Linked DNA regions of Caenorhabditis elegans. The protein of the gene in region 1 purifies or fractionates together with the protein of each later gene. This does not show direct contact. Each region holds a gene or a part of one and is shown in the gene's direction. Other genes may lie near its edges.

The links.
Region 2: the proteins of lect-2 (region 1) and sax-7 purify together in Caenorhabditis elegans (affinity purification with western blotting; 2 studies listed by BioGRID). This does not show direct contact.

Annotation. Positions count from the first base shown.
Region 1 is NC_003280.10:5,788,837-5,794,985, forward strand, and holds lect-2 (Leukocyte cell-derived chemotaxin-2 homolog), read left to right. Parts: upstream 1-1,886; 5' UTR 1,887-1,900; coding exon 1,901-1,952; intron 1,953-2,411; coding exon 2,412-2,517; intron 2,518-2,521; exon of another isoform or gene 2,522-2,605; coding exon of another isoform or gene 2,606-3,069; intron 3,070-3,593; coding exon of another isoform or gene 3,594-3,690; exon of another isoform or gene 3,691-3,754; intron 3,755-3,961; coding exon 3,962-4,128; intron 4,129-4,178; coding exon 4,179-4,370; intron 4,371-4,419; coding exon 4,420-4,492; intron 4,493-4,786; coding exon 4,787-5,120; intron 5,121-5,355; coding exon 5,356-5,439; 3' UTR 5,440-5,566; downstream 5,567-6,149. Other genes in the region: K05F1.13 (C2H2-type domain-containing protein), read left to right, coding at 336-421, 630-807, 887-946, 992-1,057, 1,104-1,292; K05F1.14 (uncharacterized protein), read right to left, coding at 2,606-3,069, 3,594-3,690; acdh-8 (medium-chain acyl-CoA dehydrogenase), read left to right, coding at 5,719-5,788, 5,986-6,149. UniProt on the Caenorhabditis elegans protein: Muscle-derived dendritic guidance cue, which is required for the formation of somatosensory dendritic arbors which extend from PVD and FLP sensory neurons during development.
Region 2 is NC_003282.8:8,060,927-8,065,801, forward strand, and holds the start of sax-7 (Neuroglian), read left to right. Parts: upstream 1-1,732; 5' UTR 1,733-1,805; coding exon 1,806-1,854; intron 1,855-2,174; coding exon 2,175-2,352; intron 2,353-2,688; coding exon 2,689-2,765; intron 2,766-3,103; coding exon 3,104-3,396; intron 3,397-4,875.

The DNA of each region.
Region 1 (6,149 bases):
TATCCTGCTCTAGAAAACTCTCATTATTACTTCAAAAACGTACTCGTTGGTCTGAAAATAATTAAATAAACATGATGTTACACAATAAACAACGAAGGTGTATCTATGGCAACCAATCCATCATCTACAATTCATAACTATTCCCTTCCTATTTTCTAGTTTTTCACTCTTCCGTATTTTTTTGCCCAAACAGTCGTCTTGGTGAACTCGTAGACATGACGACCACGAAAACCAATCCTTGACAACCTCTTCTATTTTCAACATTCATTTTTCACAGCTTTGTCATTTTTCTTAAATTTTAGGATTCTGAGAAATTTCCTTTTTTTTTCATACTGATGTCAATAAACTATTTTAAATTTGATTGCGATGATGATCTGTGCAAATATCATGGAATAGCTCATCTACACTGCGGACACAAACGGTACAGTTCCAAAAATTGTTAAAATTTTTAGGATTAAGCTTATGCTTAGGCTTCGGCTTAGGCTTAGGTTTGGGCGGTGGAGGGGACAAGCCCTATTTTTAAGAGATTGCCATTAGGAATAGAAAAATAATGCACAAAAATCTTGTAAAATCCAGGGCGTAGCTCTTCAGAAGACGGTAATCATTTAATAAATAATATTTTATTGCAGGTGTAACTTTGCATCAAATGATGCTCTTTTGATATCAAATCATCTTTCCGTGTTCCATTTAAAAAACTCTGAAATTCCTGACGACCGAATATTCTATCATATCGACGTCTCATGTGGATCTGACAGGTGTCAGTTTAACCGAAACAGTTCTCATTGGCACTGTGCCAAATGTCAAACGGTATGACTATTCTCTTTCAGAATAATTTTTGAAGTCTGGAAAGCTTCTGTGACACTGATCAATAATTCATAGTTTACAGGGATTTGAAATTGTTGGTCTCCATTGTTGTCCAATCACTTCCCTTCCCAAACGGCTTGATGTAGTTTTCAGGTTTACAACAACTATTTCATTTTTAAAATTTCAGTCCTGTTCTCGTCCGTTCTGCAAGCTCAAAAAGAAAGCACACTTTCATTGCAAAATTTGTGATCAGGTAGTTTGGAATACAAAGTAATCGACGAAGAACTGTATATGTTCAGGGTTTCTCGAATAACACAAAATTGGCAAATCATACACATCGGACTCAGAAGCTGCAAAAAAATATCTGCATAGAAAATGGAAAATTGAAACCGAAAAAAACCACTCCGAGGGATTTTTTCGTGCTTCGAGAACCTATTAGGTTTACGATGGAAGAACATTTTGGAGGAGGGAGTGTGAAAGAAGAATAGGATCTTAATTTTTTTTTTACTTTTTTACATAAAGTTAAAAAATATATTTCAGCCGAAGTATTTGATATTTGTTGCGAAATTAATAGTTGTTGTTAAAATTGGACATATTTTGGAGGGTTTTTATATAAATTAAGGTTTTTTAGATCATAATTATCTCCTGTATGTGACTCTTCAGAAAAAATCAAGTTGACCTATTGAGTAGACGTAATACCTCTATAGTCCCATAAAACTATACGACTTGCTGCTCTGTGAGCACTCTTTCTCACATTCACCCAGTGTGCCCCCCATTATTGCATTTATTGGTGAGTACACCCTGAACAACAACACAATAACTAACATCGATCTGAGATCAAGCGCAGATAAGATAGAGACGCAGATGAAACAAGAGTCAGTTGTCTGTGCTCTGTGTCTTCAGGACGTTCTTTTGACATGCCATTCGATGATTTGGGTTGATGAAAAGTAAGGAAGAACATTTCTTCTTTTTTTGCCTGCAATCATCAAACTGAGCTTTCCGTTTTATTTATTACTTTCTCTCTCCACCTTCTTCTCTTTTTTGTTGTGTTTTTTTTTCTTTTTAAAGTCTCCTAAGTGGCTTTTTTTGCAGTCAAATGCATCTGAGAACCTTGCATTTTCTAATACTTATTGGGATATTCATAGGAGGTGAGTTAAACATATTTTGATCATTGCAGCGGAGTTTTTTTAAAACAAGTTTTAAGCAAACAATGTTTCAAAGTTATTTTTTAAGATTTTTCAAAATTTTAATAGTAAGTCAAGTGTTGGCAAATTTCCAACTTCATAACCTATTGGGGAATTTTGAGAAATTGAGCGAATACTCGCAGATTTGAATCCATGTAGTGTTTGAATAAAATAATCAAAACAGTATATTTTTGGTCGACTTCAAAAAAAAATTAGTTATTTTAAAGACGTATAAGATATTAAATACTTGCCGCTGGTGCTACTCCAATTTTCACATTCTGAAAGTTCACTTGCACTTTGCAACAGGCAAGCGTGTAGGTTCAAGATAGTCGTAAGTTGCCTTGAAGGCTTTATTTAATTGCACCAAACACTAAATTTTCAGCACAAGAAGTTGATCAACTTTTAATTATTTTTAATTTACAGGTCAGACATTGGGATGTATGAAAAAAGTTTGTGGAAACAATGCAAAAAACGATTTTCGTCGCTGCCCGGACACTGATGGATCCTGCGGTAATTATCATACAGAGAGGTGAGAAACTTTTTTATACTAATTTTTTTGTAAAGAAACTTTGTATATAAGTGAAAACATAAGAAGTTATTTTTCAATAGTAATGAATTCAGACATAGAAAATAGCGTGATCAATTTCTTTTGTACATCTTTCACGACTCCTTACAAGCTGAGATTCACTTGAAATAACAATACATCGAAGAAATGTTGCAAGTAAAAATAAAATAATACCTAAAACTGTAAGGGCTCCTAATTTAATAGTTATAGTTGCTCCGTTTACGAGATCATTGTAAAAACCAGCAAAAAATAAATGAAATAGAGGAGATAACAAACTGAAAACTAACGTTTGAGTAAATAATTTCAAATTTAAACATCGAATTGAATAAATTTCAAGAAAAAGGGCTAACACTGCTAAGAATGGCCATTTGTCGTCAGGAACATTGGCTAGAAAATCAGAATTTTGAAATAAAGTATAGTGAATGAAAAGTTGAAATATTGAAATTAATACAGAATGTTGAAAAAGATAAATTAACAATCGATCGATAACTGCACATCTTTGAAGCAGTGGTGTATCTGGAAATTTAATTTTTCTTTCATTTTTCCTTGATTTTTGAAAATTGGTGTAGCAGTTTTCAAATGAGATTTAAAACTGAAATTGCAATACAAAATATTTTTGAGAGCATTTTTGAATATTATAAATTGAATACCAGTACTCCAACACTAAATGACCGCTATAATACATATTTACTTCTCATATAAAAAATAATAGATTTCTAGAAGATCCAGAGTAACTTTAAATGAAAAAGGAGATTCTAAAAATTTAAATTTACTGAAAAACTTAATTTCCGTATTTTTCCAATTAATTTTCTACTTCCAGTTGTGATTTTAAAAAGTTTTGAGAAACAAAAATCTTGAAAATAGATCAACTTATTCTAACCAGTTTATCATTGTTATGAATTTTAAAAAAACCAGATACCCAATCCAGACAAGATGCAAAACTAATATTGTACTTCACTCAAATTTTGTTTTATTTTAAAAACTCAATGCTGGAATTTTATGAATTTCAAGAATTCAATTTTGTTATAACCGAAACAAACCTTGAAACGCTTTATCGAAATTTCCATACAAAATATAGATCAACAATCGAAATTCAGAAATTTCCAACTTGGAAACAGTAGCAGTCGGTCGTTTCATTCTTTTGAAGAAAAACACGAAAAGTGAGCTCACAGATCTTTTGAGCCGCGGAAAAGAGAAAATGAGAAGAAACAGAGATAAAGTGATGATATCACACACATTCTAACTCACTTTTCAAAAAAAAACAACGGATGATATGACACATGGCTTTTGAAACGAGACAACACTGGTTTTAATATTAAAATGTCTAGTTTTGAAATTATACAATTTTTTATTTATTTCTAGAGTTTTGCTAAATGTATGTTATAATAGTGACAACTTATTTTTTCAGAACATCAGGAGAAATAATCGATGGAGTGGATGTTCGATGTCATCTCGGAGAGCCAATTTATGCTCCAATTGAAGGAGAAATGTACTTTTGGAGACCATATGGAGGTAAACGTGAGAAATCATGCGCCGACCAAGGAGTGAGAATTGAGGGAACCGGGCAGTGGCAGGGTACGTTTTGGAACTTCAAATATAAAACTATTGATTTTTTTAAATTTAAGGCTACGCAGTGCACATATCTTCTGTTAAATTGTCCTTTTTCGGAGGGCATGTTGAAGCTGGAGATGAGATTGGAGAAGCTTTGAATCGATATTGTTTCAATGACAGAGGACAAAATGATGTCGAGCCTCATGTTGAGATTCGGTTGTACAAAGAAGGAAGACTTATCGATCCGACTCATCATCTTCAAAATTGTAATTTTTGTCAAGATCAGGTTATTTAGAATTACTAACATATTTTCAGGCATGTGTACTGGTCAGATCTGTGAATCAAACACTAGAAATGTGCTCCTTGGTGACCCTTTTAAAACTGACAAGTAAGCACTTGTTTTAGATTTTAATATATTATGGAAGAATTGCATGGGCTAAATTTTTCCCGCTGCCAAAACCAATTTTTTTTTTCAAATTCTCTCTCAATTTTTGCCAAATTTTTTACCAACTTGTGTAGCAAATTTATGTTTTCAAGCCAAATAAACCAGTGACAAAGTACCAGAAAATAACAATACATATACGTACTATATACTCTAATAATTGGGTACCGCAAAACAACTTGCAATACTAATAGGGGCGTTTTTAACAGAAACAGCTATGCATTGAACAATTAATTTCAGACGTTACAACGGAGTTCGTGGTTGGGATGTTGAATGTCAAATGATTGATGATGATGATGAAGATTCACCACGTGCACCAATGATCTATTCACCAATTGCTGGAGAAATCGTTGGAAGAATTCGTCTTTTCACTGACTCAAATGGAGCTTACACCGGATGTGATAATGATGGAATTTTCATTGTTGGAATTGATGATTGGCTCGGATTTGAGGCAAGGCTGTACAATGTGAAGGCTCGAGCAGACATCGGATTTGGAAGAAAACGAATTATTCAAGGAGAGCCGATTGCAACTCGGCTGGCATGTGAAAATAGTCCGGACAGTGTGTTTGTAGAGGTAACAGTTTTTTTTAAAGATCAGAATATGCGATTGCACTTTTTTCTGATCTTCAAGAAAATTTTAAAAATCAGGTTCTAATTTCTATTTGTCAAAGGTTTTTTGCTTTTGATGGCAAATGATAAGTAAGCTAAAAGCTCATGTCTCTTGAAACCAGTGAAGTTTTTTGTCTTCAAGGAGTATATCCTTCAGAAATATTCACATGGAGTTTCCGTTTTCATCTTTAATTTTTCAGATTCGCTTCGAAGGCCGAGTAGTCAATATTACTGATATCATAACCGCTGCCAACTGTAAAACTCCGAACTTTCCAGTATTCTAAACAGTTCCTTACTAATCTCTGAAAATGTCTCACAATTGCTTTCTGAATTCTCTTGTTCTGTTATTTCTTTGATCGTCATTACTTGCAATTAGTTTAAATAAATTTGTTAAAAATTTTAAAACAAAAATTCTTTACGTAAAACTTGAAAAACAATTTTAAAAATATAAATTGTCCCTACTCATCCACGTTGAATGACCCTTGGATGAAAATCAATCGATTGTCTTTGATTTTATTCATCAAAGTTGTTGCTGTCAAAAGTGCAATAATCATTGTGTGGACATGCTCACTCGTCTTTCATCTGGAACCACCTGGAATCGGATTGCCGTTCAAAGCCGACAAATGTCATTTGGTTAGTTTAAAGAAATGTTTACCCAAATGCAGTTGTAAAGATTTTTACTTGCTTTGTCAATGTTTTTGAGTATGTTATATGCCAGTTGACAATTGACTGACTTTGACTTGACTTGAAGGAATATTTTCATAGTCTAAGCTAAATAATACGACGTTCCAAAAATGTATCAAATAAATAAATCAATTGTTTAATTTCAGAACTGTCCGACACTCAAAAGGAAATTCAGTCCCATGCTATAAAATTTTCGAAGGACGTTCTTGTGCCAAATGCTGCAAAATTCGATAAAAGTGGAGAGTTTCCATGGGAAATCGTGAAACAGGCTCACTCGCTGGGATTCATGAACACAATTATTCCGGAGAAG
Region 2 (4,875 bases), on another chromosome or scaffold:
CATTTCTCTATAGCAACTTTATTTAATAATTCATTCTTTTTGATGTTCACTGCTGTTGAAGCTACTCTCTATGTTCTGCTTGATCTGCTCATCGTGGCGGTGTTCATGAAAGCAAGATTGATGTGTTATGAATAATGAGGAAAAGAGAGTGAACTGCCAAATCCAAATTTTATGAATTTGGAGAAATAACCAGACCTCTTTTGGCTCAGAGACACACTCATTTTACGACCTTCTTCCGTGACATATAGAGAGTAATGCGGACGAAAGGATTTCGAGAAATCTGTCCGATCGACTTAGCACAATGCTCCGGAAGTATATAGTCTGTGGTGTCACAGGTTTTTTTTTCGCATCAAAAATTTCATGTCTCCAAGTCGATGAAACTGAATTGTATTTTTTTATTTTAGAAATAATTTTTTTAAAAAAAATTTTTAAATCGCGTTATCCAAAGAAAAAACGAATAATTCAATAGAGAAACTAGGCTTGATCGAAAGGTAGACCAGAAATTTTGCAATCGTTTCGAGACCCGAGCATGTGCGCTCTGTTGCGCGCCTTTGCTACAGTACTTGCATTTGTTTTGTTTCGCCGCCAAAACGATTTTTAACGAAAACTCTGAATTTTCTCTGTTTTTCTAGTGTTTTTACTTGTAAAACTACAAAATTTATTAGTCTAAAAGTAAATTAAAACATCTGAAAGTCGTTTTCGATTCGAAATAACGTTTAAATCACATTTTCCGTTAAAAACCTGATCATGTTCCCGTTTTGAATGTTTCAGACGCGCTGTGTTGAAAATTTAGCTTTTTTCGGATAAAAATCACCTATTTTCTGTCGTAAATGATTTGTGGCCCAGAATCTTTGAAGTCTTGTTATTCTTTTACCCACGCATCCATACGTCTCATAGGTGACATCTCGTGCGTAGAACATTTTGAGCAACAAAAATCGAGTAGCGTGACGCGAACGCATTTTTCTTTTTTCCTTTTCTTTCCTGAAAACGTCCTTGAAGAACGGCCGCTTCTGAAGAATGGAGCAGCTCTCGTTCTGATTGCAAAAAAAAACGAGACAACCGGTAAAGTACAATGCCATCGGCTACCGCCATGCGCAGATTGCGTCGGTTCTGTGTGTGTGTGTGTGTGTGTGTGTGTGGACTGTCAACGAATACATCTATCACCCCCGTTGACTTCTCCTCATGCCCTTCTTTTCTCATCTTGCATTCCATTTTTTCCACCTTATGTTTTTGTCTGTACTTTTTTAAAAATAACTTTTTTTGTTGATAATTTTCGAAACTTTTTTCTCTTAATTTTATTTTCGTAATGAATCAAACAACAGATTTAATTTCTTATTCTCATCGTTAATCCAACGTGCTTCCTCATGGTCACTTTTCGGTCAGCGGGGTAGATTCCCATGAATTCTCGCTTTTTTTCATTTGCATAATCGGGAAAAGGAGAAACCTAGACAAAATAAGAAGTTCTTTATTTCATTCTTCTGATTTTAAAGTCTTTCGTTTATTTTCCGGTTTTAATGTAATCCCAATTTTCGAAATTTTAAAGATGAATCAGATTTTGTACGAGAATAGTTTCATTTGCACAAGTAGTAGTACAATTATTTTCTTGAAAATTGAGGGAAGATTCTATTTTTTCAAACTAATTCATGTTTGTTTAATTCTTAACGTTTCCTTTTTTTTCATTTCTCGTTGTTTTTTCTCCGAACTTCTCTCAAAATTCTTCGCAAGCTTTATTCCAATTTCAGGATAGAAAAAGAGTATCGAACGAAGTTCGACGCGATTCTAGATCACGTCGAAAGACCACCATCATGAGGAGCTTCATATTCCTCTTGTTACTCACTGGCCACATATCATCAGGTGAGAATTCTTTTGACGTCGAGGACATCATATCGCTTCGAAAATTGTTTGATTGGCGATTCATGTTGACATATTTGATTGCAACATCATTTTACGCCCTTTTTTGTTGTTTTTTAATGGCAAAAATGAAAATAAATATGGAATCAAGATATTCAAAGCCTTTTTATAGAAAAAAATTGTAAATAAATAATATTGAGAAAAACGCTGAAAAGCATTTGATGTGCTCAAATTTATGAACAAAAAACAAATATTTCTATAACAGAAACAATTGTCAAATATCCATATATATGTAGCAACATTTCTAATAAAAACTGTTTCAGGCAGCATAGATTGGTCAGCGATCGAAACTCCTCCACAATTTGTTCACGATAAGAATGCAGATACCGTTTACTTTAAAGTCGAAAAAAGTGGAATGAGTGATGAATCGGCGAAAAATACGCCCGGTAATCTGCTCGAACAAACGATTCATTGCTATGCAAATGGAAATCCAAGGCCTTCGTAAGTTTTTTGTAATGTTTCTGAAAAAGTAAAATTTAGAAAAAAAAATGAATCTTCAAATATCTTAAAATAATTTTTATTGAAAATTAGACTTGCATGCAATACTAATTGGGAAAGATACGGTAGTTTCTATCTAAATTTGAAAAAAAATTCGAAGTCTTTTTACTGCTTCTAAAATTGCTTTAAAATCCTTTTGGCAGTTTTGGTGGAGCATTAAAAAATTTGAAAATTCAACATTATGCTCTACGAACAGTTTCCATTTGCATTTTTATTTTTCAACTTCCAGAATTAAAAAGTGTTCAAAATATGTTTTTTATACTATTTTCTTTATTACAGATATCGTTGGAAAAAGGATGGTAAGACGTTCCTGCCGTCCATGTTTCCGGAGAAAGTTGTTCAGAAACCAGGAGAAGGTGAATATTTTTTGTTGTTGTAAAAATCTAAAATTGAGAGAATATGGAACATTTTTGAAATTAAAAAGATGGAGTAACTGAATAGTTAAATGTTTGTTTCAAATTATTATTCTGATTTGAAAAAAGTTCACTTCATTTAAATATAAACAAATTTGTTTTATTTTTGTGCAATTATAAAACTCCCACATGCAGGAAAAACAGGAAAACAGTTTTTCCTCAAATCCAAAAAAAATCGAAATTTTCGGTTAGGCCTAAAAACCGAGAAATATTGATTTCTCATTAAAAAAAAGTTCGGTTTTTCAGAAAACCTGTTCTGAAATAAATATGACATTTTCCAGGAAGCCTTGTGTTCTCCCGTCTTGATGAATCTGATGCCGGATTATATCAATGTGAAGCTGAAAATTCGAATGGAACAGCTGTTGATCGTCCTGTCCGTGTACAAGAAACATGGATTCGTCATTTCAAAACTGCGGAACCAGAAGTTGTAGTTGTCGAAGTTGGAGATCCGTACCAAAGAAATTGTTCTCCACCTGCTAGTAATCCATACGCAAGAGTTTATTGGATTCTTATGGGAAAAGAACCGGGACATTTCGAAACTATCAGTAGTAGTCATATTTCTAGCAATGAACAAGTGAGTGATAACAGTTTTTTTTTTCATTCTTTTTACAGATCGTTTCTCGTAACCTCATTGTGCCAAGAAAACTTTTCTCATTCACTCCCTGTTCTTTGTAAACCAAAATCAAACAATTTTCATAGAATTGAACGATTTTTGGAGAAAGATTGAAGAAAAAACTATTCAGTGCTTCTGGCTGTATCGTATTCAATTTTTCGAAAAAAAAATAACTAGACGAATAATCTCTGCGATTAAGTTTCAAATTTGCTGCTCGTTCCAATCTTCAAATACTAAAGAAAACTTCAATTTCCATGTATTTTTTTTCAATTAAAATCAAATCAAACAGAAGTTTTTAAAGTGTTTCGATTCTATATTTTGAAATTGTAACTCGTGGATGATTTCGACGATTCTCGTTTTTAAAGCCAATTCGAAAACTACTTTCCCATTTTCCCAAGCCAAATTGATTTTTTTTGACAACATCTAAAGCATTTTTGTTTCGTTCTCACGAAAAGTACGTTTGAAAATATAGCATATGATGGTCAGCTTTAAACACTTATTTCGACGAATTGATAATTTATCCGACAAATATGCAATCAAATTATATTTTTACATTTGGCATTTTTATGCTAAAATTTCCTGTTGTTAAGTTGGTATCTGTTTCTAGTGTACGTACTAACAATTAGGTCCTTCTGTCGATTCTTGCCTTCTATTCATACATCATACCAATATACATCGCCCTTCTCACTATTATTATATTCTATGTCCAAATTCTATTGTAACCCCTATAATACAGACCCTTTTCCCGACGTCTCCATCAGATGAATAAGTTTTTTTTTGCGTTACAACAACACCTGTCCACTTCTATTTGTACCTTTCCGCCACCATTTTTCCGTTGCGTAATTCAGTAGTTTGCAACATTTTTTCCGTTGTTATTACGTCTCCATCGCAATTAGTTAGACATACCCCCGGAGGTTGAAGGATGAGAAATGACCTTCTGAAGTTTAACCAGTTGAAATGAGAATATTTTGAAGTGGATAGAAAGACATTAGCTGCTCCTAAGAAGTAACCCTTTGAGCTTTATCCTCCATTCACACATTGTGAAAAGTGGCCTCACATAATATGAACGAAGATGATGATACTGGTGTGAACCTATTTGGAGAGGAGAGAACGGGAATGAGAGAAACGAAGAAAAAACAGATTAGCTGCTGTTAAGTGGTGGTTTTGTCGTCTTAATTTGATTGAAATTTTTTGACGAGACCTTTCAATTGTCTCCATTTTTTTGTTTTAAATGATGAAAAAGCTTACTTTTTTAGCGAATCAAAAAGCAGTTGTTTTTGTATGCTTTTAAAAATAGTTTTTATATTAGTCTTGCACTTTTACGAAACTCACCGCCTGAACTTTGAATAATAAAAATAATTTATTTTTGAACAATCAAATAAAAATCTTAAACGGAAATATGGTACGCAAAAATTAATACGCAAAACTTTGCGATTTTTT